Linked DNA regions of Ovis aries. The protein of the gene in region 5 interacts with the protein of the main gene of each other region in a pairwise test. Links are inferred from orthologs where the notes say so. Each region holds a gene or a part of one and is shown on either strand. Other genes may lie near its edges. The genes, in order: NR4A1, ZNF496, SCAND1, MEOX2, PGBD1 and ZNF446.

Region 1 (3,992 bases), on a different chromosome or scaffold from region 5:
AACCAGACCTGGGCTCTGTGGTCACAGCCACCAGCCCGTACTCATGTTTGGAGCCCACTTAAATTATCAGCATGCTAGTCAACCCAGCATTCAGGCCAGCCCCACGCAGCAAAGAATCTCTTCTGCATTCAAAACTCTCCAGAAGAGGCCCCACGCGTGCTCCCCCACCCCCCAGCCCTCATTCCGGGGCCACATTCCTCTCCCCACCTCCTGCCCACCCCCAGAAATCCTTTCCTGGACCTGTCCTAAACTCCTGCTGCACTCACAAGTCTCTTTTCCTCCTTTTGAAAATGATCCCAAGGATCTCTGGTTTGTCGCAAAATCACTTTCTCAGAAACTTTATGTTTCTTTCCCAGATTCAAATACTAGGCCAAGATGGAGATAAAGAAACCAATTCTTCAAAAATGCAAGGTGTGGGGGGGGGAGGCTATCAGTCTATTTTTTTCCTTCCCCCTTCCCCTCTCCTCTCCTTCCTACCCCAGGAGTTCCTTCCAAATGGGCTTTTTAAAGAAGCCACTACCCCCCACCTCCTCTTTTTCTTTTTCCAGAATTCTAACTTTTGAAATACATTTTAAAAATATTTGCCTGTGTAGGAGAAATACATTTATTTGGACAGGAAGAATAAAATTTTTTAAAAGTCTGAGTTACCACTTTTTCCATGAAGAATTCCAGCCCACAGAGGTCTCTCCCTTCTATAAATACTTTAGCACAACTTGGCTTTATTACATACTCTCCTGTTTTATAATGAAATAAAAATATATTAAAATATGTAATGCTAAAACACACATGCCCATGTCACTTGTGGTGGCTGACTGAGGTGGCTGAAGGAACATAGGTTCGAGAGGCCTGGGACTGACCCTGGTCCCCACTATTACCAACTATGTGACTTCAGGGCAATTACTTACCTTCTCTGGCCTTCCGTTTCTTCATTGGAAACACAAGGATGACAACATACCGATCTCACAGAGTTGTCATGAAGAGTGCATCTTTAATAGTACGGATAGAAAAATGCAGCAACAAGTCTGGGACTCAGTAGAAAACCTGCCATTTCCACACAAAAGAACTTGGGTTAAGGCAGGGCTGGGGACTTCATCTTCAAGCTGCACATCCAAAGTACTCACCCTGGCTTTTCCAGATAGTATGTTTATCTGGAGGCTTGAGCTGCACAGATGAGGGTGATGTCACCTCATGATGTCACGACAGATGTCCAGCAAATTTCAATCCTCTTGTCTCCTTGACCCAGTTAGCCAGTGGCCAAGCCAGGGCGACAGCCCCCATCTTCCATCTCCCAGACCAGTACTCAAATTTGTATGCACCATCTTGCTCCTTTTCTTCGTAAGTTAGGCTCTCCTCTTTCTACACAAGTTTCAGGAACTACCACAGACCACACACTGCAGACGGGAAAACTGCAGGGGAAAACTGAGGGGAGAGAAGGGCAATTCTTTGCACAGCTCAGGAGATAGGACTAGAGGGGAAAACAGACCCCATCCAGTGCTGTCCCACATAATGGGAAATTCCTAAGGGAGAAGGACAAGCTCTTGCCACAGAAAGCTGGGGAGGCAGGACACAAGACAGCTCCCTGCCAGAAGAGAATATGGGCACAGCGTGAAGGGACAGACAGGACCAGGTAAGGCAGAGAGAAGGAAGAGTATTCCATAGAGGACAAAGATTGATCACAAAGTTCACAGGTATGGGGTGGGGACAGGGTAGAGATCTTGGGGGCATAAAGCCCCAGGACTCAGGACAGTCAAACCCTTAGTGGTGTTCCCCATATGCCCTTCCATCTCAAAAGTAGCAGAACCCAGTAACCCAACTCTGCCCAGTCAGACAGACACCATTCCACCTTACCTCCACCCTGACCCACTGGGGGTGGGGGTAAAAGGATGTCCAGGGGGTGCCCCAGACCATTTGGGCCCTGAAGGGGCTCCCCTGTCCAGGTCCCAGCCCTCAATGAGGAGAGGGGCTGTGGAGGGGATTCCCTTCGTGGTTCCCTTCCTCACTCTGAGGATGGAGAAATACCAGGCCGGGGTCCCCCCACCCCTTCCCCACGTTTAGGAGCAATTAAAGGGCAAAAAATGGGGACACAAAGACCAGGCCTTTCAGGGGCTGTCCCAGGGATCATGGCTTTCCACGGGTGACCTAGATGGGAGTACATGCTCTGAACGACATAAGGAGGAGGAGGTGCCCTGCTGGGTGCTTTTAAAAGTGTCTCCACATTTGCTCTTCCCTAGTTGCCATGGAAGGCCGTCAGGGCCAACAGGAAACAGTGGCCAAAGTCACCAGGCTGGAAGTGACAGAGCTGGAATTAATACCAAGATTTCCCCTAAATCCAAGCCAGGCTCTTTATTATTAAAAACAAACAAATCCTCTGTAACTTATTTTTTAAATTACAAAATCAAACAAGCTCGTTGTAAACAAATGCAAAACGTTACAAAACTGCGTGATGATTTACGAAGTGAGAGACCGGTAATCTATTCCCAGAGGAGTCGAGTTTGGTAATCCTCTGCTGCCTGCTTCCAGATTTCTCTCCACGTTGCCAGAGATCAGATCTGGCCCAGCAGGCCCTCCCAGAGGGGCCGGGACCGGAACGCCGGGCCGGGACCGGAACGCCAGGCCCGAAGGAATAGGGCCGGGCTCCGCTGCAGCGTTGCGGCCTCGGCTGTGCCCCACGCCGTGTTCCCGGGGGCGGCCGTAATGCCCCGCGCCAGGCCGGGTTGGGTCGGGTGGGGCCCGGGGAAGCCGCTACGTCACCAAGCGGACCGGAGGGAGTCCGCGCCGGGTCCAGCCAGGATTCCATTACATCACCCCGCAGCGCGGACCCGCCGCTGGGTAAACACCGCTGCAAACCATTGGCTACCGTGCCGCCCTTCCAACCAATAGCACGAGCGCATGCAAATCAGCCATTGGGCGTTCACTGCCTTTGGGTCTGATGTATGCAAATAGACTTCTTTGCCAGGATGGCGCAGGGCGGCGGGCGTAGGGGGCGGGTGCCTCCAGGCTGAGAAAAAAGAGTGGCCCCGAAATCCGAAATCCGTAGCGGAACTGGTTGGGGACTTTCCATCTCAAATATGGTCCGGCCATTCCTGTGGGGACTAGAGGGTAATTAAGGATAAACGCCTATAATTCTTGAGCTATCTTTCCAGTTAGTCCTTGCTTCTCGGAGGTCAGTGAACCTAAGCAATGATGCAAACGTTAGTTAGGTCAAGTTGGAAAGAGGGAAGAAATAAATACAGAGATACAGAGAAAACTGAACCGTACTGTGGTGAATATCGGGGACGACTCTCCCGCTGGGGACACAAAGCAAAGAACAAAACAGACACAGTCCCTGTCTCTGCGCCTTCTTACAACCCAGGCTGCCATTAAAACATCTTGCCAATAAGTAATAAGCGCCCTAAAGAGAAAACGAGTTGCAGGATGTCAATGACACATTTAATGAAGAGCTGCAATTTAGAAGTGGAATGGTGGATAAGGAAAGTAATTTTTTTCCTTCCTCAGGAAGTAAAGTTTTCAGCTGAGGAGTATTTATGAGGTGAGGAGGCAGGGGAAGGGCCAAGTGTTCCACGGAGAGGAAACAGTACGTGGTAAAGCTCGGAGGTGAGCAAGAGCATTGTGGAGGGCCACGTGCCAGACACTTTCCTTGTTTTGTCTCTTCCTGCCGTTCAACAGCACTCTTAGTTGGGTCCTGTTTAGTATTGAGGGAACTGAGGCTCCAAGAAGCTAAATAACGTGCCTAACGGCACACAGCTGAGAAATCACAGAACATGGTTTGTATCCAGGTTGGTGTGGCCTAAGGTCTCTGCAGTGAACCGCTGATTGTGCCCTCCTGGTTTAGAATCTGAAAGGTCAGGGAGGTGAAGTGATTTGTTCTGCACTTCATGGCTGACAACAGAGCTCCGATCCCCAGAGAGGTCTGCAGATTTTTCACTGTGCTGTGAAGGAAGATGGGGTTCCAGAATGAGGAGTTGGGTGGGGGAGAGAAAAGATCTTCCCTG
Region 2 (3,500 bases), on a different chromosome or scaffold from region 5:
GGGTGATGCTTCGACAAGACAAAGAGCATCAACAACTGTTAGCAATCACTGAAGCTAAAGGAGAGGCAAGGAACAGATCCTTCCTTTACAAGAATCCAACCTTTCTGACACCTTGATCTTGGACTCCAGGCCTCCAGAATTGAGACGATGAATTTCTGTTGTTCTGAGCCACTCAGCTTTTGGTACTTTGATACAGCAGCCTTAAGGAATTAATACAACTGGCACACGAAGTTAATATATATATAGAATGACTTCACCAAAAGTTCTGTTTCTACTGCTCAGCTCATCCAGACAAAATAACTTCTCATTCATGGGACCTGAGCTCTCCTTTACGGGACCTGAGTGAGCTCTCCTTTCCTAGACATGACACAATGGGGAAGGGAAAGTTAAGCGCCTTTCAAATGATGATGCTGTCACTTCTATCCCACAACCAAGTATACCAAGGACCTTCAGGGTACAAAGAAAGGACACTTTCTTTGTAGTGTGTGCCAACAAACAAATTAAAATGTGGCTTTTAACGTGGGCTTTGCCTTGAATGAGCTCACAATTCCCAATAACCAGTCACCACCATGAAAGAAAGATTTCCCTTTGGCAAGCTATAAAGTCCCCCACAAAGGCTTCTGAGCCTGGAAGGGCCATCTGATCATTCTGAGGTGTTCTTATGGACCAGATGGTGCCTGGGACACAGACTTCTGATGACGTGACATGGCTTGGTGTGCTTGGCCCTGCTGCCCTTGTGCCCACAGGTCCAGCCCCACCTTATTATCTTCCTCCTAACCCATCACCCCACCGGCAGCTTCCTGCTGTCAGGTAGGCAGAAATTACCTCCAGACCGCAGGATAGGGTAGGAATTCAGACGGGGCTGGAAGGGAGTGCACTGCAAGCTGGCAAGGGACAGACCCCTCAAAGGTTTCCTGTGGTAGGGGGTACCCCAGTCCCTCTACCATGTGGGAAGCACTGAACAGGGTTCTCTTAGACCCGAAACACCGGGCAAGTCAAAGCTGGTGCTGACACACTCTCTTAGCTTTCGGCACAGCAGAGACAGAGCAAATACTTAACTGGCCACTATCTCGTTTCTACCTGAGAGTTAAAGGTCAGGAGGACGTGGTCTCTGTCCTGGGGAGGAGTCTGAAACCGGTCAGTACCAAGCACAAGTGGGATACACTCTACCCACGCTGGAGCTGCACGCAAAAATGTGTGTTAAGCCCCCGACTCAGTAGGAGTTCAGAGCCTGCTTGGACCGGCGTTTCATGTGCAGGCGCTGGTGGCGGAGGAGGTCAGAGTTCTGGGAAAAGCTTTTGACGCAGTACCTGCACTGAAAGGGCCGGGACTTGTCCATGTGAATGTTACTGCGGTGCCGGGCCAGGTGCTCAGGCCGCTGGAACACCTTCCCGCAGTCACAGCACTGGTAGCGCAGCTTGGCCTTGCCCTTTGTCAGTGGGTCGTCAGAATCCCCACCCATGGTCCCTGACGCCTCCTGTTCTTTCTTCTTCACTAACTCGAGTCCGTCTGGCTGCAAGTGTATCCGCCTGTGTGAGAGCAGGTGGGAGTTGAGGCGGAAGCTCTTCCCACAAGCACCGCACCTAAAAGGTTTCTGAACCTCGTGGGTCTCCAGGTGCCCGTCTAGGTCCTCGCTGTCACTGAACAGCTCCCCGCACACCGAGCACTCGTGTGGCTTCTCCTGCTCCCTGCGGCTCCGCAGGTGTCGGATGAAGTTGACCCTCCAGCGGAAGATTTTGCCACAGTTAGGGCACACGTAGGACTTTTTAGAGGTCTGCACCTCACCCGCTGCCTCAATGCCACTCCGGTGGGAGATGGGGAGGCTGTGCTGCTTCTCTGTGGGGCTCCGTGGCTCGTCTGTGCAGTAGGGGCCGAGCTGGGAGTCCTCATCTCCGGAGCTGGAGAGCACAATCTCGATCGTCACCTCCTCATCCAGGCTATTCTCGGGGAATGGTGCATCACCTCCCACTACCAGAAAGCAACAAGGTGGTCAGTGATGCTGCCCAGGCCACATCTGAGCCCCTGCAAACCCTACCCAAGAAGGTCCAGAAACCCACATTTCTGTAAGGAATCTTCCCCTGCAGGTATCTCTGTGGTATGTCTTGTGAGAAGGAATCCCTTGGCACAGGCCACACTGCTAACCATTCTGCATACCTCTTTCTTCTCTCACTTCCCTACCTTTTCCTCCTAAATCCCCAGACCCAGTCCTTTTATTCATTTCTTTTCTAGCCACTGAGATCCCTCCAAGCTCTAAGACTTTGTATCTATCTGTGTAAACCTTGACCATTTACACATCATTTAACTCTGCCTCTCTTAATGAGACAAGGGAAAAATTGTCAGGGTGCATTAAGAGCCTTGAGACAGAGAAGGGTCCTATATTCTATAAACAGTGACAGGAGGCTGCCAGCTACCATATACTAGGCACTTAAATTCCCTAGGGGCTGTACAAGACTTCTGACATGCACAAGGCCATCTGATCCTGGACACAAGCCAATAATGTACTACTTGCCATTATAAACATAGGCAAACTTAGGTCACGTGCTTAACGGCTCAGGCCTAGTGATATTGAGCCCTGCTGTGATGGTAGGGCTGTTCAAAGGCTCCAGATTACTCAAGGTCATCTCTTCCTCTCAGTATCATATCAGAGGCCAACCAACAGCCACTAATGGTAATGCATAAAGATGCACTGGACTTTATAAAGTAACTGAAGCTGGCTCAATGGATCTTGAGTCTGTGATGTTGGAAAGATGTACTGTGGGGAGGAGTTGGGTGGGCAGTGGGGACCCTGATATAAGGTCCTTGCCTGCAGCCCAGAGACCACTACACGGCTCTCCTTACAGTTGTTTCCTCATTTTTTTGAAATGAGGGGCTCAGGTCTAAAACAGGGCTGGGGAATAGTGGTGCCAGGTCCTTTGAGACAATAATAGGAATATGGTTATTCTGGACTTAACTGCTAGAAGGAGGAGAGTTGTGGCAGCTTAGGGAAGTGAGAGCAGGTGAAACTGGACAGAACATAGCAGGAAGACCCAATACCATAGCAAGCAGGAGAGACACTGGGCAGTGGAAGAGTCTATGCGGGTATTTACCCATACATCAGAGCACAAGTGTGAGGGGACTGGGTACAATGTGAAATGGGGGAGTGGGAAGGGACTTGAAGATTTAGAAAATTTTCAGTCTATCTATCCTGCAAAAAATGAGAAAGTATGTTCTGGAGAGAATACCAAGCGTGTGGCAGGACAACCACAGATCCTATTGACCATCTAAGAAGCCAAGAGTGGAGATGAGATAATCCAGAAACAGTCTGTAGAGGACCATCTTGTCTGATGGCCTGGACCCTTGTAAATTTCATGGGCAGCCAACAGTGTTTCTGAGAATATCCATCTTAGAATAAAAAGGAAAGAGGATGAAATAAAGGAAGGCTTTCATTTCAGACAGTCCATGGGGTCAAAGAGTTGGACAAGACTGAACAACTAACACTACTATCTCTATCAAACTTCTAA
Region 3 (2,724 bases), on a different chromosome or scaffold from region 5:
TGTTCCGGAAATCTTTCAAGAGGCCTAAAATTTGTTAAGAGAGGGGTCTGGAGGCTTAAACCAGAGTTCACAAGAACTAGCCTCTCTAGGTAAGGACCTGCAGTGAACACTTACCAAAACAGCCCTGTAACTTGGGCCTTTGGGGAAGCCTGCACCCACGAGGTAGGCTGATGGAGCAAGTTGAGGACAGTATTGTTATAGCAGCAGCCAGTTAAATCAGCACTTAGTTACAGTCACCTATTTGCCTGCACGACCCACAACCACATACAAGATTGTACCACTGTTCTCTATCCGCTGAGACAGGAAAACAAGCTCAAATTCTAGCCAATGAAAGGTACGAGCGAATTTGAAACCAGGCTGCTGGAGTCCTCATTGCATAGGCTCCAACCAAACAAAGGAAACCCACGTGGGGCGCTGGGGAACGCGCAGGAAAAAAATTTCCAGATGTGGAAACCCATAGCCAACACATAATGATCCCACAAAAGCCAACGAAGGCCAAGTGAATAAGAAACAAAGGCTTTATTCTCATGGGCCCCCAACTTGGTTTCACAACTAGCCAGAACGGGTGGAAATAGGTTCGGGAAAATAAACACGGGAAAGGACGCATGAGATTGCAAGAACTGCCAAAACTCATTTTTCATTATCGCGTATTGGGGAGCCAAGCTCACGGTCCCGGACTCGATCATGGCTCCAGTCCAGAGAGTGCCTGACTCGGGTCGCCCGCAGCTCCGCCGCTCAGCCGGTGATGCGCACGTCGGTGCGGCGGCGAAGCCGCCGGGCCCGCGCCGCCTCGGGCAGGATGGCGAGAAGCTGCTCCTGCACTAGCATCTCCACGATCTGCTCCTTTGTGCGGATGTCGGGCCGCAGCCACTGGCGCGAGAGCTCCCGAAGCTGTCGGAACGCCTCCCGTGGGCCTGCAGCGTCTTGGTAGCGGAACTGCCGGAATCGCTGGCGGAAAGTCTCTGGGCCGGGCCGGGAGCCGCCAGGACCTGGAGGGGAGCGCGGAGAGGCTTCGGCAAGCGGCGCAGGGCCCTGGGGTGCGGGTCCGACAGGCAGGTCTAGGGCGGCGGAGGCCGCCGCAGGAGGCGTAACATTCGCTTCGGGGACCGCGGCGCTGGGATTGGAGGAGTTGGGGATAGATGGTGGGGCTTCAGGAGTCGAGGAGGAGCCCGCAGGGTCACCCTCCGTGCCTGAGCTCGGGCCGGCTCCTTCTTTCCCCGAGGATGGCGCGGGGCTTCCGGCTGGAGCCAAGCTTTGCTCGGGGGCCGCCATGACTCCGGCTCCCCGCGTCGCTCTTTGTCCAGCCGTTGTTGGCTCAGCTCTGCGTCTGCAAGGGGGCGGGGCAAAGGAGACTTTTCCCCTACAGGGCGGAGCGCGCGACCCTGAGGGAGGCGGGCGGAGGGCGCGCCGAGCTTACCAGCGCCGGCGAAGCGCCTGGGGCGGCCGGAAGTGGGCGTGCCCGCTGGCTTCTCTATGGGAAGTGGGCGTGCCCGCTGGCTTCTCTATGATGAGCTCTGCGCACGAGAGTCCGGAAGCCGGGTCTGGGCTCCCAGAAGCGGCGCCCCCTCGCGTTCCCACGTGGGGTCTGGAGGTGGCGGCGCCTGCGGGGCTGCAGACCAATCTTAGCTCGCCACTGCTGGCTCCGGATGGTGGCGCCTCCGAGCACCTGTTCGAAGAGAAGGAGGAGGAGGAAGAGTCGGAGGAGGAGTCGGAGGAGGAGTCGGAGTCGGAGCCGGAGTCGGAGTCGGAGCCGGAGTCGGAGCCGGAGGAGGGGTCGGAGGAGGAGCAGGTGCCGAAGCCGCCGCCCAAGCCGCAGGCGGCTCGCAAAAGCGTCTCGGCCCGCCTTGATCGCCTCAGCTTGCAGGTGACCTGTGTCCGCCCCTGCAAGCCCGCCTCTGTTTGGCCCTGGTTAGGATGGTGGCGAGCCGAGGACTTGCGCGGGCTGGCGCCCGGCTGGTGGCGGGACAACGGGACTGTGGTCAGGCACTGGGGGAGGGCCCAGCTCGGGAAAGTTCTCTGGCTCAATCGAAAGAGAAGGACAGTACACTCACCTGGTTGCGGGTGGATGACGTGTGCAAAGTCCTCTACACATAGTAATAAAACTTGGCCGTCTTATGGCGCAGAGTAAATGCCCAAGAACTCTGTTGTTATTATTATTATTATTATTATGCCTGTCTTCTGAAACCAAGAAACAGGTGGCTCTGTGGGTTCTGCTCTTAACTTTAGGATTACTAATGCGTAGCCTCATATAGTGGACTCTAGCCACGTGTTTTCGAGCCCTTAACATGTGGCAAGTCGGAATTGGGATGTGCTGACATGTGAAATACACACAGGCCTTAGTATGAAAAGAAAGTAATGTAAAATATCTCAATAATTTTTTATATTGGTTACATGTTGGATTTATAATACTTTGCACATATTGGGTCAAATAAAATATATTGTTAAAATTCATGTCTGTCGTTTTACTTTTAAATTGTGGGTGCCAGAAAAATTTGCATTCCATATGTGGTTTTCATATATATATTCGTTGTACAGTAAAAGCATGCTACCATGTGGGAGTCAGGCTGCCTTGGTGAAATCCCTGCAGGGTTTATTTGCCAGAGTTGTTGAGAGGATTAAATAGTAAAGACTTTGGAACAAATGAAAGTTAGTCACTCAGTGGTGTCCAGCTCTTTGCGACCCCATGGACTGTAGCCTGCCAGGCTCCTCTGTCCATGGAGTTTT
Region 4 (4,147 bases), on a different chromosome or scaffold from region 5:
TTCTACCCTTGGTGATGATTAACTGTATTTCCCATTCAAGATGTAATCTATTAATATTTTATGTATCTGATGAAAACTTTTGTTTTTCCAGGACTTTAATGACTAACTTCAACATGAAAAGATAAACTTATTTTGTTATATGGTTATTTCCCACCAAAGGACGGTAGCAGTATTAATATAACCAATTTTCTTAAGAAAGTCACTATTAAAATAACTGAAGGGAGTCAGTTCTTGGATCTCACTTTCTTGATTTCTCCTTGATCAAAGTAACATAGGCCTATATGAAAATTCAGCTTGTCCTAAGAAACTTAGGTGCGTTTGTTCAGTTGAAGAAGCATATGAAACAATCCATGATATAGGTTTCTCACTGCAGAAAGTACAAGGAATAGTAAGAGCCTCTGGTAAATTGCAAAAGCGTCCCTGGCTAACCTGTACTCAGATCTAATCCCAGAAAAGTTACATTGATATCAAATGCTGATCCTATAAAAGGATGACTGCATTCTAAAAATGACTTGTTTTCTAATGAAGATGGAAGCCTTCTTGCTATATTAACTTTTTCACTCTGTCTGAAGAGTGTCTCACTTAGGGTTAGTAAAAACCATTAAAAATGAATGATACTGCTGGCAACCTTTTTGGATATCAACTATTTTGTGATGGAGCATTAGAAGTTCACCCTGACGTTGGAATGTAAACGTGAGATTCTAAGTTTGAGATAGAAGAACCCATTCCGTACTCACTGAAGAATAATTGATACCACTGCTGAAAAAGAACATGAAATATGCGGCTCAATCACTGTCATTCATGTGAAATCTAATCTAAATTATTATAAAGGATAGACATTATCCAGTCTTTCAAATCAGTACCTGGAATTATCTTCCAGGGCTCTTAAAACCAATGCCGCAAAGAAAGAAAATACGTAAATATTATATTAAATAAACAACAGCTTGCAAAAAGATGGGACGCAGGTTGCGTCGTAGCTACTGAAGAAAGCTCATACCCTCCTTATAAAGCATCTTTTAACAATTTCTTTAGGACAGAGACAGGTAAGGGCTTTGACAGTTGACTGCAAAGCTTTAGTTTCTCTGGATTGCTAAAGTTTAGTTGGCTGCGGGTGCCTTCAAGCATTCGCGTTTGGTTAAGATTCCCCTTTCGCTACGCGGTTCAAGATATCCTCGCGTAGATCAGCGCCTCCTACGCACACCCACTTGTAGCAGCGCTACCCTGGTTGCTGTTAAGTTTCCCAATCCTTGTTTCGGATAGTACTCAACTGGAGGAGGATTTTACTTTCCACTTTTGAAACTCAGATTTTCTTTTTGGTTAGCATTACATGAATACAACTACAATAAAGAATCGTCTTTCGTCAAGGGTCTGAGCGTATATTTAGTTGCCATTCTCTGACACATTCCTTAAAATCCTCTGAATTCCTAGACAATATCTTCTTCCCCCAAGAAAGAGAAATTTTACCATTTGGAATAGGGTGCTATTTAAAGAACTCTGAAATCAGAATTAAAAAAAAAAAAACTAAACTAAAACTTTTTCTCATGTGCTCTGCCAAGTTCCACTGCAAGTTCCAAATGTTGTGCAATAATTTGGAAATCCAGTTAACGATGGGAAAAATCGAGCCATTCAGAGTCGGGAAAAGTCAAGGAAAGGCACCCGCACGCACGCCCAGCGGACGCTGCATCCCAGGGTGCATTCCTCTCCCCATCGCTCAGATGGAAGGTCACGCTTCGCAATCGATTTCACATACTTGTCACTTGTCCTTTTTTTCTCAACCCTCTGGTAAACTAGTTTGAATCTTGGAGAGCTTAACGCACTTGGCTGCAGTGCTGCCCTCGGAGAAACACGTGCCCCCAAATAAAAGGACCAAAGCAGCCTCGCCGAATTTGGCGGCGAGGAGCCAGAGAGGAAAAGACCTGTCCCATAACGCCCGCCGCCTCACTCTAGTAGGAGAATCTTCCCATCTCCCCGCCCCCTTTCGCCGAGGGTGCCCGGCGCGCCCTTACCTGAGCTATCGCTTTTCCTCTTGCTGCCACTTCTCTTCTCCGCCTCCGCGGGTGACAGCGCCTGGCGGCCGTAGTCCCCTGGCGGGCACGCGGCCCCGGTCGGGGTGCTGGAGCCCAAGCTGGAAGAGTTGGAACACAGGACCGGCGGGCTGCTCCCCAGCTCCGGGGGCCCTCCCGAGTCCGGCTGGAGGCAGAGGCTGTGCCGAGCCGCGCTCGGCGGGGAGGACATCTGCGGGAGGTGCCAGTTGGTTTGCAGAGCTTGGTGCTGCTGCTGCTGGTGGTGGTGGTGGTGATGGTGGTGGTGGTGGTGGTGCCCCCTGTGATGCTGGCTGGCAAACATGCCCTCCTCGTTGGGGTATCCCGCGATTATGCAAGACGAGGAAGAAGTGGAGAGCTCGGGGTAGGACATGTGGTCAGATCTTCCATGGAGGGCGAGAGAGGATTGGGAGAACGGGTGCAAGCCTTGCGCGGTGGCGTGAGGGCTGCGCAGGCAGCCAAAGAGCGGGTGTTCCATAGCATGCAAGTCTCGGGTTCCAGGCAGAAGACTTCACGACGGTTCCAAACGCCACCACCCTCTGTCACTTTTCACTGGAAACCGTGTGACTTTTCCCCCTCCCAAAGCAATAGCCGCCCGCGTTTCGTCAGAGCTCGGATAATCCTGGTCCTGAGCCCTAGCGGCCAGTCTCCTTTACATATAAACACTCGGACCTCGAGAAGCTTCCCTCTGAGCTACTCAGATGTCAAGAGCAGGAGAGGTTGAAGCCAAAAGAAGGTGGTCCCAGAGAACTGCTTTCAGGGGGAAACGGCTCTGAGAGGTTATAAATAGAGTGTAATGTGAGCTGGGGGCTGGCTTAGGAGCCCAGTGCTGACCACATGCAAACTCCCTCCAAAACTCCCGCTCAGTTCGCGCAATGCGCTCCCAGTTCCACTTCCTATCGCCGGCTGGACGCATGCAGCGCGTCCACGCCCTCCCGCCGCTGCCAACAGCCTGGACTGCAAGCGGCAAGCCGGGCGCCTAAACCAGAGCCCCGGCGGGCAGCGGCTGCCCTTCCCGCTCCGCCGGCCGGGGCGCGCCGTGGCGCCCGCCAGCTCCAACCCCACAGCCAGTGTCCCACCTGCTCACTTCTCTCCTGAAAGGTGTCTTGTCAATGCCACTTGGGCACTGTCACCTGCAGAAAAACAGGGTGTGCCTAAATGTGGAGAAGCACGAAAGGTGGAGGATAAGGAAAAGAATCAGAGCTAGTTTGGCGCGCACTCAGATTAAGGTTTTCCAAATTCGCATCAACTCGTGTCATGGGCTCAGTGGCGTTTCTAGCTTTTTTATACAGCTGGTGTCTGTGGGTGGGTTGTTAGAGCGCTGAGACGCCAGATTCGAGGATGCAGGAAAAGTTCCCCACGGGCGAGAAAGGGCCGCAAGGAACGAGACTTGATAGGGTGGAAGAAAGCATGGGGCCGTGACGGTCGCAGACGCTCTGCTTCTGGCATCCTCACCTGCGGTCCCAGGTGGGGTCTCTTCCCCTGCTTTCCTCAAATGTCCTCCCCCACACCGCTCTCGATTTCCGGGTCCCACTTCCATTTCCTTGCCACTTGTCCGCCCAGAAAAACTTTTCCTGGATCAGGAGTATTCTAAAGCGATTTCACCCTAGTCACAAGCGATGTGTATATTGAATGTACATTTCCAGTACTCTCCCTCAGGAGCCAGCCCCCTGTCACCTCGTTTCCCTCCAGAAATCCATCTCTCTTCCGCTCAAAAAAATCAATCAGCTCATTGCACCCCTTTCACTCCCACGCCGCCATGGTTCCATTTACCAAACAAATATTACACTTTGGTATCGCTTAAAGTTCGGATCTCCCTGGTTACAATTTTGCATCCTAGAAAATGACTTAGAAAACTTGCCACCAGTGAATTAATGCGAGCGACGGCTGGGCTTTCATACTACCACATGCTTAAAGGGCGACACTGTCTGCTAGGGGCCAAGTCGTTTACACAAGGCACGCACGCTGGCCGAGCATAATGAGCTGCGGGAACAGTTGAGCCTTGCCTAGGACTTGTCGCATCAGGAGAATATCGGCGCTCACCTATCCCTCCCGGGACCCCAAATTTGCCACCAGGAGCGTCGCCGTCTTACTTTCATTGTCTC
Region 5 (3,500 bases):
ATGCTTTCCAGTGATGTACTTTCACAGACATAAAAGAAAAATCAGCAATCACAGATGAAAATAAGGAGAGGGAAGAAGAAGTTGGTGAATAAAGAAACATTAACCAGAGAACAAAGAAGAAAGGTAAGAAGTGGAGAACAGAGACAAAGCCAAGGGGCAACAGGAAAGCAGGTAAGAGAAAGATAAAAAGAGAAAATGAGGATAAAAAAAATTGAGTTGGTAATGGGGGAGGCTGGGTATGTGTGGGAGGCAGGGGGAGATGAGAAATTTCCTTTCAATTTTGCTGTGAACCTAAAATGGCTCTAAAAAGAGTCATACATGTACCCTTGAAACTAATAACACTGTAAATAAACTATACGTCAGTAAAAAAAAGTCAGACACACAGTCATACATAGAAGAGATGCTAACTGCAAACTAGGAGAACTTTTGAGAATCTGCTGCATTGGAAACCATAATCCAAACAGTGATAATGACTGTACATCACTGCACTGTTACTTGGAAAGATTCTTTCCAATTCCTTATCTGTACGGGGGGGAACACAGTCTACTTTACAGGGGCAATGAAGACTGAGATAACATAAAAGCCCTCTGTAAAGCCCTTTAAGGCCCCAATGCAAAGTAGTGCACCACTGTTTGCCAAGACAGTAACAATAGAGGGAGTCCAGAATTACTAAACGAAGTGCACAGGGGATATTCTAATCCAGAACATAGCACTACTTTTCTTTGCTTCAACAGTGAATGATTGTGGAATCTTTTTGGTGCTGTTCCTTCATACTAGAGAGAACAAAGCTTGCTAGGAAAATAAAATAGCCTAGCCCATGGTTCACTATTACTACCTAATCTCCCCACAGTGCATATATGCCAAAACCCTAGCAGCTTAAAAAGCACAGTGTGAAGCAGGTCTGCTGTCAGAGAAAGGGCTAAGCTAAGAGGGGCAGGGTGGCAACAGAAGATGGAAGAGGGGCAAAGAGACCAAGAGTACTGGGAAGTCTGAGAGCAAACGTCAGACCAGACTCTGTGGTTGCTCCTTATCATCCTCCTGAGGTGGAAAAGCTTTAGGGTTAAGCCTGGGAAGAAGGTAGAAGAATCTTTTCAAACATATATGCTCACTACACACACCACACTGATCCCACTGCTCTCTATCTCTGCCAAAGACAGAACAAGACAAAGTGGGCTTAAGTTGCCAAGAATAAGATGATACCAAGGTCTTTTCTACTTCTCCATCAACATATCTAAAATTTAACAATCTGTCTGATGCTAAGAATCCCAGCTGAGCATTAAGAGGCTAGCAAAACTCAAGTACTCAGTAGTTTTCATTTTAAACTAGTGTTCCGTGACTGGTGAGAATGAAATACAAAATACACACAAATAACAGTCACTGTAAATCATATTTTTTATGGAAAAAAAAAAAAAGGCTTCAATGGTACCCAAATATTTTTCAAGTCTGAACTTCCTGGTTTGAATTTAAACACCCCATAAAATGGCCCCAACTAACCTTCCCCTCCCCCCGCCCTCCACCTTTCCCCTAAATAAATCCTACCCTCCAGCAGGAGGGGAGGGAAGGCAGGTAGCCTGGGGAATTGTTCTTCCATTCATTTGGTCTCTGGTACCCTGGAGAAATGTGTTTGGGTTATGACTAGTAGGCACACAGGTCCTTGGCTAGAGTCTCCAGAATATCTGGGAGGGCCTACGAAGGTATAAAAAGCCCTTGCGAATGACAGGGAGTGCATCTTGAAGGAGGCCACTGAAGAAAACATTACCATGGGGAAAAAGACAAAGTTATGGAAAGCTACCAAGTAAATATTGAAATTCCAGGTGTGGAATTGGAAATGCGGAGTAGAGACATATAGTAAAGAGAATCTTGGTCAGAAGGTCAGGTGACAGCGCTGCCTCTGCTGACCCTGGGCAAGTCACTTATACTCTGAGTTTTGGTTTTCCTAACTATTAAGGGAGTTGAAAAGATCTTACATTTCTAACATTTTACAATTTCAGGTGTTTTTAAAAGCTTGCTTAGGTAAAGGGTAAGACAGAAACAAAACTTGAGAACACAGATAAATAGGCTTTCACTTAGAAGGCCACACACCTGTCAGTGGCCTGTTCCCAATGTCTTTACTAAGTTCACCCTCTGGCACTCACCACTCACTTCTTGGGCAGTCTCTTGGGGAGACTCTGGAGGCTCACTCTTCAGGGTGGTTACCCCCAACAGGAGCTGGGGGCTCTGACCCTCCGAAGAGGTTCCTTGACATTCTGTCACCAGTAGGTGCAAGTCCTGTCCTAGAGTGTAGACAGAAGCCTGCGGACAAAAGATTCACTTTGAAAAGGCATCCTGGTGGGAACTGGACTGAACAGCAGTTAGGGACATTCCCCAAGGGAACACCAGACAAGCTTCATTTAGTCCTTAAGTAGCGAGTAAGACAAAGTAGCAAGACACATTCACTCATCTGGCAAATATGGACTGAATGCCTACTAAAGCCACATTCTGTTCTACATGCTAAGCAAAGAGAGTCAATACAGGCAAAGAACCCCTGCCTAGAAAGCAAAACCAAACCCCAGATAGATGCTTATAGTGTGTGGAAGTTTAATGGGAAATAGGATATGTACACCATCTCCAAATGTCACCCACAGATTACTAATTACAAAGGGGAAAATGGTAACTTGATAGTGGAGAAATCTGACATATACCACCTTAACCTCATCAGTAACAGGATGATCCACCACCATGTGCCTCCTGAAGTGATGCCCTAGGAGACCACAATGCCACTTCTGTGGTATTCCAGCCAAAATGTACTACCTGGGTCTTATTGTGAGAAAATACAAGACAAACCCAAATTGAGGGGCATTCCAAAAAGTAACTCATCTGTACTCTTCAAAACTGTCATTATCATGACAAACACTGAATAACTGTTCCAGATCTAAGAAGACTGAAGAGACAGCAACTAAAAAATGTGAGATGAGGGAATTGGGGCAAAACTGGCATAAGGAACACTATTAGGCTATCAAGGATCCATCTGAACAAGGACTACTACTGAGGTGATAGTATCATAAAAATTTTAATTTCCCAAAACATGATAATCTATATTCCAGTTATACAAAAGAATGTCTTTCTTCTTCAGAAACACACTGAAGTGTTTAGAGATAAAAGGTATCTCCAACTAATTCCATTCTCAAATGGTTCAAGAAAAAATACTGCATAAGCTATATGGGGGTGTGTGCGTGCACACACAATACCTACGCATACAGAGAGAGGGAGCACTTGCTCACACAAGAAGGGCGGCACATTCCTGTAACAGATGTTAACATTTCATTAACGTGTGTGAATCATACACACAGTTCTCTGCACTACTCTCCCAATACAAGTTATAAATTATTTCAGAGTTAAAAATTAACAGACAAATGTTCACCATTACATCTCCCACACCACCACACACATTCTCTTCCCACCTGTTCTGAGTCTCCTGCGTCTCTCTCTAGACTCTCCAGCGCTATCAATGCATCCTCCCC
Region 6 (4,065 bases), on a different chromosome or scaffold from region 5:
GGGCTGACTGGCCTTGGATGAAGTTCCCGGGCCATTTCCTGGTAAGAGTGTCTCTATTCTGACCTCGGGTGTGCAGGGAGGCCAGACTGCTGGGTGTCACTCAGGCTTTCCTGCCACACTGGGGACCCTGTCCGCTCTGCACATGCCCATGAGGGTTCACCCCGGGTGCCGGCACAGGACTCCTGCCAACCTCCGTCTCACGTCTAAGTGCGAAGCCCACCTCTGCCAGTTCCCATCACTCTAAACCAGGTTCCCAGTTCCCTGAGACCAGAATTCTTTCCAAGCACTGTTCTGTCCCCCACGCCCTGCCAGGGGTACCCTGATACCAACTCCACTTCGCGGCAGCAGAGAGGACAAGAAGCACTCGCCAAGGAGCCTGGACAGCCGGCAGGACAGAGAGCAGCCCCTGAGGACACCCTCTTCCTGCAGCGGGGCTGCACTCGCCAACCGGGGGCTGCTCACCTGAAGCCGGGGTGGCTGGAAGGGTGCGGAGGTCGGTTCCTGTTGTTCGACGTGCTCCTTGTGGGACTGGGCTGGAGGTGGGGGGCTGGAGGATGCTAGGAAGCCAGGCAGGCAGGGGTCAGGGGCTGTCCCTGCGAGCCAGGGCAGGCAAGGAGCTGGCGTTGGTGCTGTAGCCTGGGCCCTCCTCTGGCAGCAGGAAGGCATGCTCTTTGTGTGCCAGGCACACGGCAGGCAGCCAGCCAGCCCTTCCCTCCAGCCTCCGAGGGACCCAGTCCTTGTGGGGCCCGCCTCCCACCTGGGGATGCCAGACCCACTCCAGGAGCCCCCAGTCTCCACACAACCTCTCCTGGACTCCCCCCTCACACTCTCAAGGGGCCCCAGCCCTTGTGCACCCGCACCTCACCTGTCTCCTGCACGTAGCCATCAGGCTCCTCCTTCACGCTGCATCTGAGGTGGGCACTGCCCTCCATCTGGGCACCCTTTGGCGCCTCCCCAGAGGCTTCCCTGAGGGACTCCACTGTCCCTGAGGGGTGGACACCCCCCAGCGACTCCTCTGTCTTCTGTGTGGCTGGGAGCACAGCTTGCTTCAGGACGTGCGCTGTAATCTGCGGGGGGAGGGAGGGTCATTGGGGTGCTAGGTTCACTCTGTCCCTCAGAGAAGCCACCACCACCACACTCACCCAGCCCAGCAGCTGCCCAGGGTCACGCTGTAGGTCTTCGACCAGGACAACGGCCTCCTCAGGGCTGCCTGGCTGCTGGCCCCGCACCCAGGCCTGAATCTCAGGGGGCAGCGCCCCCAGGAACTGCTCTAGCACCAGCAGGTCCAGTATCTCCTCCTTGGAGTGCGCCTCGGGCTGGAGCCACTGGCGGCACAGAAACTGCAGCCGGGCCAGGGCCACCCGGGGACCGGCCACCTCCTGGTAGCAGAAGCCCCGGAAGCGCTGGCGTGCCATCTCAGGATCCTCTGGGGTGGCCTCGGGGTCCAGAGAAGGCAGACTCGGGGGACCCAGTGAGGATGGCATTGTGAGGGGAATCTTCTTGGAGCCACCTGCAGGAAAGAGGGGTCAGAGTGCCAGCCACAAGGCCACAGCCAAGGTGAGGCAGCTGCGTGCAGACAGCCCCAGCCCAGGGGTGGTGGTGGTGCTGCTGATGTCTGGACAGAGAGGACCCTAGTGTGGGGATGCTCGACGCTGAACTGAGGAAAGTTTCGTGGAAGGAAAGGTCACAAGAGCTGGAACTAAGAGCAGAAGGAAGCCTTGGGAACCACTTGGAGTCGGATGGAGCTTCCAGGGAACAGCTAGATGATGCTGAGCGCAAGGCCAGGGGAACTACCCCAGGCTTCCAGGCTCAGGCCGAGAAGCCGAGAGTGGGGGAGCCAGGGTGAGAACAGGCTACCCGTCTCCTCCATCTCCGGGTCACGTTGATTCAACAGAAGCACCCCGAGAAGCTGACCTGCGCCACGGCCGAAGCAGGGGCCGACGTGGACCCTGAGACACCGTGATCGCTGACACCGGACAGCTGTGCGTGACTCACACCGTGTGGACCGTACTTGTGAAAGGCGGAAGCCAAGTAAACCACAGCCTAGGGCTGTATGGGGCGCTCCGCGGGCCACCGCGTCCCGGCCCTGAGGGTCCGCAGGGAGACGCGTCCACATGGGGGGGGGGGCCTCTCCGACAGGCTGGACCGGGCCCTACCCCCAAAGCTAGACTTCCACAGACGGGGGTCCTCCGCAAGGAAGGGACGGCGCCACAGACGGAGGAGGGGCCCAGATGAAGGCTCGGGGGCAGGGCGCCCCGCGCGCGTCGGGTGGCGGCGGGAGGGGCCCGCGCGCATCGGGCGGCGGCGGGAAGGGCTCGTGCGCCTAGCCCGCCGGCGCTCACCCCGCCATCCCGAGCCACTGAGGTGAGCGGCCCCGCCCCCTTCCGCGGGGTCCCCCCAACATGGGCCAGCCCCTCGAGCGTTGCCCCGGCGACGCGGCCCTGGCCAATCACGCGTCTGCTCTGAGGCCCCGCCCCTCCCGCTGCCCCATCAGCCTGCCTTTCGCGCGTTGCCTCGGCGACGCCGCCCTGGCCAATCACACGTCTGCCCCGAGGCCCCGCCCCCTCCCGTCGGACTACGTTTCCCATGAGCCTCAGCACGCGAGCAGAGGAGCGGCCTCGGAGCAGGTGCTGTTTCTCGGAGGCCTCGAAAGACTGAGGGGCGCCCCTTTCCTCCGAGTGGCATCTGCGGCGCCGCGGGCTTCGGGGGGCTCCCGCCCTGTCCCAGCCGCCGCTCTCCCTTTGCACCCGCTCCCGAAGACTCACCAACTGCAGAGATGGACGGGACCTCCGGACGTTGCGCATGAGCACAGCAGGCCGGCACCTATTGGCCGAGAGGTGAGGCAGGGCGGGGCGTGACCTCTCGGCCAATCAGGCTGGCGCTCCGCCCGGGAGCTCTCCCTGCAACTTCCTTCTGGGCGCGGGCGGTCGCCCTGGTTACCGCGGGAGCACAGCGGCCCGCCTCCCGCTATTTCCAAGGCGACCGCCGGAGCGTGGCCCTGCCCTCCCGGGCGGCCGGAAGTTTCCCAGAGACTCGCCTCTCGGGGTCCCAGGAGGAAGCAGGGGGCTGCCGGGAAGGCTAGCCTAACCCATGGGCGTTCTCCGCCTTCCCCAGGAATTTCTCCAGCGAGGATGGCACTGGGGTCCGTCATTCGACTACTACTGAGCGCCCTGCGGGTGTGTGGGGACAGCAGGCACTCATCTGCTGATGAGGAAACTGTCCCGTAATCTATATTCTCAGACTCTCAGACGTGCCTTCAGCTAGATCAGTCCTGCAAAGAAAGGGCTCTTCCACCATCTACCATGTGGGGAGAGCTGGAGCTCTAACAGCCTATTCGGGAGCTTTCCCTCAGTCATGTTTGTTTTGGGTCTACCCTTCCAGAGGGCTGCTGGTTTTCAAGCCTTCTGGATTTCTACAGCGTGAGCCTGGTGGGATCACCCTGCACGTCCGCCAGCGCCAACTCAGTATTTGGCTTTTCCCCAAATCGGTACTAGCGCCTCGATTTCCACCCGCTTCTAGCTTCCGCATGCCATTGCCTCCTCTTTCACGATCCTACTTGCGGGTTTGTATTTTATTTACTTATTGGCCACACCACGCAGAATGTGGGATCCTAGTTCCCCAACTAGGGATTGAACCCTGGGCCCCCAGCAATGGAAGCTTGATGCCAGGAGCCAGCATGAGGAACTCCGCCCATGGCAAAGGTCATGAGGAAGGAGGCTTTGGCAAGGCGGGATCGAGCCTCAGGAAACCCCCTGTTCCCGAGCATCTACCCCTCAAACCAGAGTCTGCCTACTTTACTGTTTCACACTCTCACCTATACACCTCTGACTTTACGGGGGGCTGACCCGCCATTACCTCTCTGAGAAGGAGTTAACTTACAGCTCCAAGTCAATAAAAATTCCTGGGCGTGACAAGAGTGTTTCAACTTATGAATTCCTCTGAAGGTTATCTAGCCTGCCTGTACAGTTTCGTCTGGCCACATGTAATTGTTTACAGCCTCCCAATCGTGGAGGCACGAGATGTTTTAGACTTTCTAAAGGCAGATCTTTGGGGAAGTTAGAAATT

Evidence for each region.
Region 1: the proteins of PGBD1 (region 5) and NR4A1 interact in binary tests that used the Homo sapiens proteins (3 or more experiments, as listed by UniProt). The two-hybrid records come from large-scale screens. The link is inferred for Ovis aries from reciprocal best matches to the Homo sapiens genes PGBD1 and NR4A1.
Region 2: the proteins of PGBD1 (region 5) and ZNF496 interact in binary tests that used the Homo sapiens proteins (3 or more experiments, as listed by UniProt). The two-hybrid records come from large-scale screens. The link is inferred for Ovis aries from reciprocal best matches to the Homo sapiens genes PGBD1 and ZNF496.
Region 3: the proteins of PGBD1 (region 5) and SCAND1 interact in binary tests that used the Homo sapiens proteins (3 or more experiments, as listed by UniProt). The two-hybrid records come from large-scale screens. The link is inferred for Ovis aries from reciprocal best matches to the Homo sapiens genes PGBD1 and SCAND1.
Region 4: the proteins of PGBD1 (region 5) and MEOX2 interact in binary tests that used the Homo sapiens proteins (3 or more experiments, as listed by UniProt). The two-hybrid records come from large-scale screens. The link is inferred for Ovis aries from reciprocal best matches to the Homo sapiens genes PGBD1 and MEOX2.
Region 6: the proteins of PGBD1 (region 5) and ZNF446 interact in binary tests that used the Homo sapiens proteins (3 or more experiments, as listed by UniProt). The two-hybrid records come from large-scale screens. The link is inferred for Ovis aries from reciprocal best matches to the Homo sapiens genes PGBD1 and ZNF446.

The regions. Positions count from the first base shown.
Region 1 is NC_056056.1:134,308,634-134,312,625, forward strand, and holds the start of NR4A1 (nuclear receptor subfamily 4immunitygroup A member 1), read right to left. Parts: upstream 2,801-3,992; 5' UTR 906-2,800; intron 1-905. UniProt on the Homo sapiens protein: Orphan nuclear receptor. Binds the NGFI-B response element (NBRE) 5'-AAAGGTCA-3'. Binds 9-cis-retinoic acid outside of its ligand-binding (NR LBD) domain.
Region 2 is NC_056058.1:38,324,988-38,328,487, forward strand, and holds part of ZNF496 (zinc finger protein 496), read right to left. Parts: intron 1,969-3,500; coding exon 1,214-1,968; 3' UTR 1-1,213. UniProt on the Homo sapiens protein: DNA-binding transcription factor that can both act as an activator and a repressor.
Region 3 is NC_056066.1:65,082,716-65,085,439, forward strand, and holds SCAND1 (SCAN domain-containing protein 1), read right to left. Parts: upstream 1,330-2,724; 5' UTR 1,273-1,329; coding exon 736-1,272; 3' UTR 501-735; downstream 1-500. UniProt on the Homo sapiens protein: May regulate transcriptional activity.
Region 4 is NC_056057.1:25,059,012-25,063,158, forward strand, and holds the start of MEOX2 (homeobox protein MOX-2), read right to left. Parts: upstream 2,801-4,147; 5' UTR 2,521-2,800; coding exon 2,007-2,520; intron 1-2,006. UniProt on the Homo sapiens protein: Mesodermal transcription factor that plays a key role in somitogenesis and somitogenesis and limb muscle differentiation. Required during limb development for normal appendicular muscle formation and for the normal regulation of myogenic genes.
Region 5 is NC_056073.1:29,458,612-29,462,111, forward strand, and holds part of PGBD1 (piggyBac transposable element-derived protein 1), read right to left. Parts: coding exon 3,441-3,500; intron 2,293-3,440; coding exon 2,136-2,292; intron 172-2,135; exon of another isoform or gene 1-171.
Region 6 is NC_056067.1:66,373,091-66,377,155, reverse strand, and holds the start of ZNF446 (zinc finger protein 446), read right to left. Parts: upstream 2,801-4,065; 5' UTR 2,117-2,800; coding exon 1,915-2,116; intron 1,511-1,914; coding exon 1,143-1,510; intron 1,068-1,142; coding exon 866-1,067; intron 594-865; coding exon 463-593; intron 1-462. UniProt on the Homo sapiens protein: May be involved in transcriptional regulation.